Coturnix japonica: one gene and its partner. The main gene of each other region encodes a partner of the protein of the gene in region 2 in a complex. Links are inferred from orthologs where the notes say so. Each region holds a gene or a part of one and is shown on either strand. Other genes may lie near its edges. The genes, in order: ARL8B and PLEKHM2.

What was found.
Region 1: the proteins of PLEKHM2 (region 2) and ARL8B are in contact, whole or in part, in a crystal structure (PDB 8JCA), measured with the Homo sapiens proteins. The link is inferred for Coturnix japonica from reciprocal best matches to the Homo sapiens genes PLEKHM2 and ARL8B. Residues at the interface, in NP_055979.2 of Homo sapiens: His70, Phe71, Thr72, Arg73, Arg74, Glu75, Glu103, Ser105, Glu107, Ser108, Tyr109, Arg111, Leu112, Glu115, Glu147, Phe148; in NP_060654.1 of Homo sapiens: Glu22, Thr52, Val53, Gly54, Phe55, Asn56, Met57, Lys68, Trp70, Arg77, Phe78, Arg84, Tyr85, Arg87, Gly88, Val89.

Annotation. Positions count from the first base shown.
Region 1 is NC_029527.1:15,966,460-15,970,143, reverse strand, and holds the end of ARL8B (ADP-ribosylation factor-like protein 8B), read right to left. Parts: intron 3,440-3,684; coding exon 3,372-3,439; intron 3,158-3,371; coding exon 3,087-3,157; intron 2,666-3,086; coding exon 2,616-2,665; 3' UTR 725-2,615; downstream 1-724. UniProt on the Homo sapiens protein: Small GTPase which cycles between active GTP-bound and inactive GDP-bound states.
Region 2 is NC_029536.1:3,639,361-3,643,173, reverse strand, and holds part of PLEKHM2 (pleckstrin homology domain-containing family M member 2), read right to left. Parts: intron 3,549-3,813; coding exon 2,760-3,548; intron 2,477-2,759; coding exon 2,407-2,476; intron 2,310-2,406; coding exon 2,219-2,309; intron 1,886-2,218; coding exon 1,821-1,885; intron 1,497-1,820; coding exon 1,408-1,496; intron 1,286-1,407; coding exon 1,153-1,285; intron 1,067-1,152; coding exon 876-1,066; intron 639-875; coding exon 573-638; intron 444-572; coding exon 284-443; intron 84-283; coding exon 1-83. UniProt on the Homo sapiens protein: Plays a role in lysosomes movement and localization at the cell periphery acting as an effector of ARL8B.

The DNA of each region.
Region 1 (3,684 bases), on a different chromosome or scaffold from region 2:
TCTCAGCCCTTTCCACAAGCCAAAGTTGCTGAATGACCAATACTCAGAGCTAAGAACCAGCTCACTGCAGCTCAGGAAATGCAAAGGCTTATATGGAGGTGGAGCACACAGAAGTCATTTAATTTGTTACCATTACTGGAAAGATGTCGGCACACCATCCTCCAGGTTCATCAGCCATCTAAGAGAAATTAATGGATCAGTGCTGGAGATCAAGAGTCAGCACAGATTCAAATATGGACAAAAAAAAAGGCATTTTGTTGGAAACCGCAGTCAATGAAAGCCTCACCTTCCAGTGAGATACAAAACGTGACACTTTAATTGGTAATAAACAATCAGACACTGCTAGATCTGATACTTGTGCTAGAAAAGCCACAACTAGTTCAGAGAACAAGAAACAAGATTTTAGATATGAGTATTTTTTATCTCTAAAAACACAACTCCAGGAGGCTGACCTGCTTACGACCCTTCAGCTGATCAGCAAGTCCTTTTCACAAGGCAAAAAAGCACTGAGGACGGCCGAGATCAACTCTAGTTAAGCCTGTTTATGTAAGCTGAGAAAGCCTCGGGCCTGAAAGATAGTTCTGTAAGCATTTCACTTTAGTAGTGCAACCACAGAAGATGAGGAAGCTCAGGTATTTCTACTGCACCTCTTTGCCCATTTAATTTTAATCAGAGAGCAAACAAGCCCGCAGTGCCATGAGTTAAACGCATCAACTCCAGTCAGTCGGTTAAGCGTCAATACAACCCTCAAAACAGAAGTTTATTGAATTAAGCTGAAGAGCAGTAAACCAACATATGCATCCACCTAAATAAAAAAATCCACGTATTTACAAAGTTCAGTAATTGTATAAGTTGTTCACATGCAGAGAGTAATGCACAGGTTAACAGTTGGTAGTGTTTGGATGCCATAAATACTGAAAGCAGTGAAGTATATAAACACCAAACACATCAAGTTTACCTATAGGCCAGTTAGCTAAACAGTGACCTGGTCCCCCACAAAGATTCACACATTCTAGTTTAGTTTCCATATTTTAGGCACAAGCAAGTTTGATAGATAAAGGTAACTGTAGCAGTTCACAGTGAACTAAGGACTACAGTAGCAAGTTAATATACCCTCTCCTCTACAGCACCAGATGATGAATTAACTGAAATCACACTTCAGAGAACCGAAAGGGGACAAGAAGTTAAATGCAAGTTCAGACCAAACGCAGGCAGCACGTAGTGTCTGTGCAACAGCTGGTATGGAACAGTAAGGCCATGGTAGTCTAAAGTAAAACTGATTTTTCATTATTGATACGGACAAAACAGCGTCTTCAACCAAAGACTCTAAAGTAACGCAAACTCCACATTCAGGTAAGGAAGAATCACACACAGTGTGAGGCAATGCAAGCAGGTGTACCATGTATTTGTATACACTAGCAAGCTACACTGACATTACTGTATGAACAAACCAGTCTTAACGAGTCTGTCCCTTTAAATATATTGAAGTCATTGAGAAAGTAAAGCTACAAAAACATTACAATCTTCAGTTTGTATATACTTCCCTACACTGTAGAAGCTAGTCAAGAAATAGGATCGATTCGTTGGCTCTCTTGTGCTTTGACACAGTTGAACATTTCACCTTGCCACTTACAGACTTTGCACATGGTTACATCAAGAAAGCAGGCAGCTCTAGAGTTGTCACAATAGCTGAGATGTTTCATAGCACCAGGTGAAACTGTGCCCAGCTATTTCATGAGCAGGAGACACCGGACAATTACATAGATATTGTGCTAAAGGTCAACAACTGACTCTATACAAAAACATCAGTAATTTAAGTGTCATGCAGCCGCTCAGAACGTGTGTTCTGCTTTCGGATAGAGATCACTAGAATCAGAAGACAGAAAAGTGTGTTTGAACCAAGCAATTTGTTGTCATGCTGGAATACTCCGGTTTTTGAAAGCTTGACAGAACAGTCCATTCCCATTCCCCAGACAAATGTTAAACATAAGCAACAAAATGAATTTAAGCAGTTGACTCTCCTAATTCATCATAAGTTTTTCTTTTTCCTTTTAAGTGATAGGATAAGATCCCAGCTGTAGATTAGTGATGCTGAGCTATGTCTTTTGCTCCCCTCTGCAAACAGGATCCATTTCTCTGCTAACATACACACATCACATGCATTTGTGAGATAAACTATCCCACAACTCACGTTTAAATGTTTTCTAACTACTGTATGTGGCATCTTACAGAATCTTAATGCTGTCAAGCATCAGCATCTTCAAGCCACTAAACACTAGAAATAAAACACTTGCTGAAAATCATATAAAAACCTGGCCCTGAAAAACCAGAACAGAGTGTACCATCATAGTTAACATGGTAGATTTTTTTTTCTTAAAAAGCCCCCCCACAACCCTCCCACCATAGATGGTTGTAAAATAAATATTTGTGCTGACTTTATGACAACTCTAGTTGTTTTGTGACATAATAGGAATACAAGTCTTCAGCAGTGCACATGAGAAATGAACTGTGAAAAGGCAGATTCTTGATACAGGATTTTTGGGTTATATCTCATTATGGAGGGAAGTGGACAATTGAGATTATGGCCAACTGGTACTGGAGATTCCAGGAAGACTTCAGCTTCTTCTAGACTTTGAATGCTGAATAAGCCACTGAAGCGTGATATCTGAAGAGAGAAAAAGTGTTCCATATTCAAGTGATTTGTATTTGCATAACCAGCATCACCTTGGTATGCCCAGAGCCCCTAATACAGAGGCAGCCCTTCTCTAGAGATGGTCCAAGGCAGATTAACAAAACTGAAAGTCTGCTGTTTATGTTCTAGTCCAGTAAAAGCCCAGAGCCTTGCAAGCAACATTTGGAGGCGCTGCAGAGATTTGGGTTCCTCAGTCAACCACAACCCTAAGAAAGACTTCAAGTGATATCTTTGTCTTGCTGACATAATTACATTCAGATAAACATCGCCATTATTCAAGCCAGTCTGACAGCCCTTGCTGCCTCTTCTAACCTGATGGTAACAAAGTTAATTTAGCCCTACAGTCCAAAGCATAAAGCTCTTCTTATGCATGCAGTTTTAGGTTAATAGTTACCTATATTATCTTTTTCTTTGCAAGAAATTGAGTAGCAGCAGATTTCTCTGTCCTGAATAGCAGCAAGGTTCCTACAAAAGAGATAAAGTTAAAACACACACTTCCGTTTTATCAAGCATTCTACATTGAAAATCTCTTTCCACTCCATCATGGAACTTGTTTCTGTACAACGTTTCAGCTACTTGTTACTGTGCTTTCCACTTATAAACAGAAAGCTTCTTCAACTAACACCCTTACCTACATGAATTCATTTATGAGTAATCTCTTCAGAAGGGTTAGACTTACATCTTCTCGATTAGCTGTTTCTCATCCAAAGCATTAGGAAGGTCTCTCTTGTTTCCAAGTACTAGAACCTGAAATTCAAAGCAGAAACAATTTCAGCTTTGTTTCTGTTGTTTTGTTTATTTTAGGAAAGCAACAAGCAGTCTACACCAGACTATTAAATCCAGTGGAATAAGATACGCAGTAGTAAGCCAAGCTGAGAAGAAAGACTGACCCAGTTACAGGGAAAAAAGCCCAAAACCTCTTTTGTACAAAAGCAAGTACAAGATCAGCTGATAATAGTGAGAACAAACCCAGTGAACTTTCAACTGTGACC
Region 2 (3,813 bases):
TCATGGCAGGTGAAGGCCTTGTTGTCTGTCAGCACCAGGCAGCACGGGACACACGGCGTGGGGGCTACACCCTGAGGGATGACCTGCATGGAGCGGGTGGGGAAGGGGAGATGGATCCTGGAATGAAGGAGCCCCACCTCCATGGGTGCCACAGGCTTCTGGTGAAGGGAACTGCCCTAAAACATCACTTCCTATCCCTCTCTTTGGGAAACATCATGGAAGGGACCGTGGAGGTTGGAACCAAAGGGGCTCAGGAGGGATCCGTTCACCCTTTGCAGCTCACCCCTTTGGAGACAGCCTGGCAGAAGTACTGCATCCAGTCGGCCATGTCCTCCTCGTTGTCAGCACTCAGCTCCAGGGAGGGCCGGTCTGTCAGGATCACCTGGAAGGAGTGGGGCCGGTCGGTGGTGTTGGAGCGCCGGCATCCCCCGCACTGCTCACCGCTGGGAGAGAGGAGGGAGATCAGGATGGACCGGCAGCACCGCCCCGACGACAACAAGCCCTGCCCCCACCCGCCCTCACTGTGCCTTCATCACTCTGCCCCGTGTTCCCAGCTGGGATGACATCCTTACCCCATGTTGATGGAGAGCAGAGGTGTGACATCCGTGCGGTCGGGGTACTGGTACAAGATCCCATTGCTGCCATTTGGAAAGAGGAGATGGTCAGTGGAGCCAGCTCAGCTCTGCCAGCCACACAAACACACCCTGGCTTTGCTCACACTCCTGCCCAGCCCTGTGCATGCAGCCCTGGGGGGTTGTGCTGCTGCTGGCAGCCACAACAGGGGCTTTATCTCAGCCTCCCACGTGGTGATGGGCCCCCTCATCTCCCAGACAGCAGCACAATAAAACCGATCAGAGATCTTCTCCCAGACCCACCTGAGCACCACGAAGCAGGTCTTCCACTGCTCCTTGCCCAGGTACGAGGTGCCCGCCTTGTAGTGCAGAATGCCATCCTTGGTGACTGCGTTCTCAGCAGAACTGTAGCTACTGGGAGAAGGTCCCAGCGCCTCATCCATGGGGTCCTCCCAGTGTACGAGGCCATAGAAACGCACCACCACATCACAGGCCTGTGGGATGGGCAGAGATGTGAACAGGACGGTGTCCGGTGTGATGCTCCGTCACACGCAGCCATGGCAGCCATGTCAGAACTCACCTCACACTTGGACTCCTGAGCCACAAATTTTGCAAGTGCCAGTTTCTCCATGGTGGCATCTGTGAGGACACTGGGGTACGGGGGCTCCCGGCACCCCTTAATCATGGCTGACTTCAAGGAGACCAAGAAGAACCTGAGAGGGAGACGCAGCTACGGTGGCAGCCCTTTGTCAGCTTCACCTGCCCTGACATCCAAGGGTCCCTCCACTGACCAAAGGACTTTTGATAACACGGAGTGCTGACGGTGCCCACTTACTCTGTGAGAGCCACGTCTGCAGTGTCGAGCAGGAACTGCTTCCTCCGATTGGTGCACACCAGCGTCACCGTCTGCTGATCCAGCCCAACCTGTGTCACACATGACTGGGTAAGGAAGCAAGACAGAGGACAAAGGGTGGTGGAGCAGGGCTGAGCCTGGCATCCTGACTCCCGGGGAGGTCAGCAGACGCTCTGCTGCCCATGCAGAGACAGCAAGCCAAGCACCACTAGAGGTGGCACTGGAGAGCAATGCTTCTAACTCTCTCTGTCTCAAAGATTCACAGTCCAAAATGCCCCTCGTGGACAAAGAGCCCCACAGAAACATCCCACTGTGCTGCTGCTGCCATCCCTGCAGCCAAAGAGGTGAAGATAACCTCCAAGCTGCCTCCTGCCCCCTCCCGAGACAGCACTCACCGAAATGTAGTCGAGCTCATTATAGGAAACGGCCTCTTCCACCATGTACGGCTTCTCTGCTGCCCCTGGCACAGAGACAAAGAGCTGCATGAAGGGGGGCAAAGGAACCTGTCACTGCCCGGAACCAGCAAGAGAAGCCAAGTTCCAGGAGCAAAGAGCTACAGGGCACAGGTCCTAAGGCTCCTAAAGGGGCATATCAACCTGATCTCACTGCTGCTGTTGCCACTGCTCTTGGAAGCATGAAGGAACTGGCAAACACTGATGAGCTACGATGCCCTAATCACTATGCCCCAGTCACTGAGCAAGCCATGGATCAAGCCATCACCTCCCCCAGCTCCCAGACCTCCAACAGGCTGTCCTGACTAAACTGAGAGTTGTAGCAGGAGCTGTTGGGGTACCTTTCCGGATCAGGTACACGTAGCAATCTGTCAGCAGGACATAGACCAGCTGCAGGTTCCCCTCCATGTGCCCGGTGCTCATCCGGATCATCTGTGTGGAAGGAGGAGAGCTCTCAGCCCATGGCCAACGCAGACAGAGGTGGCCTCTTTGCAGACTGATTTGTGTGCCCAGCCTATGACTGTCTTACCCTGAACAACTGTTCCTCGTTCTCCCGAAATACGTGGATCATCAGCAGGAGCAGATGGTTGTTGTCCACCCTGCAAGGACAGACAGAAGAGGCTGAAGGATGGACAAAGACATGGGGCTGCCCAGTCACCTTCCTGAGTGAGTCTGTGTGTGATTAGGGCACCTGCTGGCCCACAAGACCTTCTTGTGAATCCCTAAGCATCACTTTCATCCTGGAGAAGGATGGGCTTTGCCCCACAAATGGAGGACAAATGGAAAAGTATCAGCTTGAGTACCAGCAGCTCTTTACTTTTGGAAGACACACTCTGTGCTCACATAAACTCTGTATGCTGAGCTGAGCAGACCCAGCCTCACCTGAACTCTGAGGGGTGGGTGAGCTCAGAAGGGCTGCCCTGACCTTCCTCCACACCAGAATCCTCAGCGCTGCTCAAGGAAGGGCTGGGCTGCTCCTTCTTTGTCTCACCAACAGCCTCAGGATTGATGTTCTCCATCTGGGCAGTCTGAGGTTCACTGCTCACTCCTTCAGACTCTTCTACTGCCCCAACTGCTTCTCCCTCTCTGCTTTCTTCTTCTTCTTTAGAAGCCTCAGGGCTACCAGAAACATGTGTCTGTTGGCCAGGCCCTGGAGCGTCATGGTGGCCACCACCTGGTGCAGCAGCATTTGGACTCTCGACGGTAAAGCGGTAGAAGTCCATGGGGGCTGAAATCCCGTCGCTAAAGTCGCCAGAGGACGATCCATCTGGGCTCTCCCCTGGCGTGCCGGTCCGAAAGGACTGCCTGGGCGGCTCGAGGGGTGCGCTCCAACCACCAGGGTCCAGCTGCCCATTCAGCCTGTCCATCACCTTGCTCAGCGGCTGCCCCACGCTCTCCATGGACGTGTCCTTCATTTCGGGGATGTGCAAAGCCAGCTGGCTGAGGGCAGAGCGCTCGTGTCCCTCCTCCTGCCCGCCCGGGCTCGGCTCCCCAGCTGGGGCAGTGGGATCATCGTCCCTCTGTATGTCTCCTCTGTCACTCAGCCCGTTCACATCGCTGTCTCCACTGCTCTGATGTGTGCTGGTCTCAGGCGCCGCGGGCACAGCTGTGTTCACTGGCTCCTCTGGCTTTGCTTTCTTCTTCTTGCCTGTTTTCTTCTTCTTGGCTAACCTGCATGGTGAGAGGCCGTTATGAACATCACTTATCTTTGCCTGCCCAGACTTCTGCAATGCAAAGGGAGGGGGTTGGGGTCCCACCCTTTCCTAACAACTTTCCCCTGTAATTTTCCCTATAAGAGGAAGCACGGTGCTTCTCTTCCCACACTGCTGGAGAGCAGAGTGCAACGTGACCCATCTCAGAGTCGTCTCCTCTGCATCTCCCAGGAAAAACAGGTGTGAGAACAAAGCCCAGGCCTGCTGGTCTGGTTCTGGGGTGC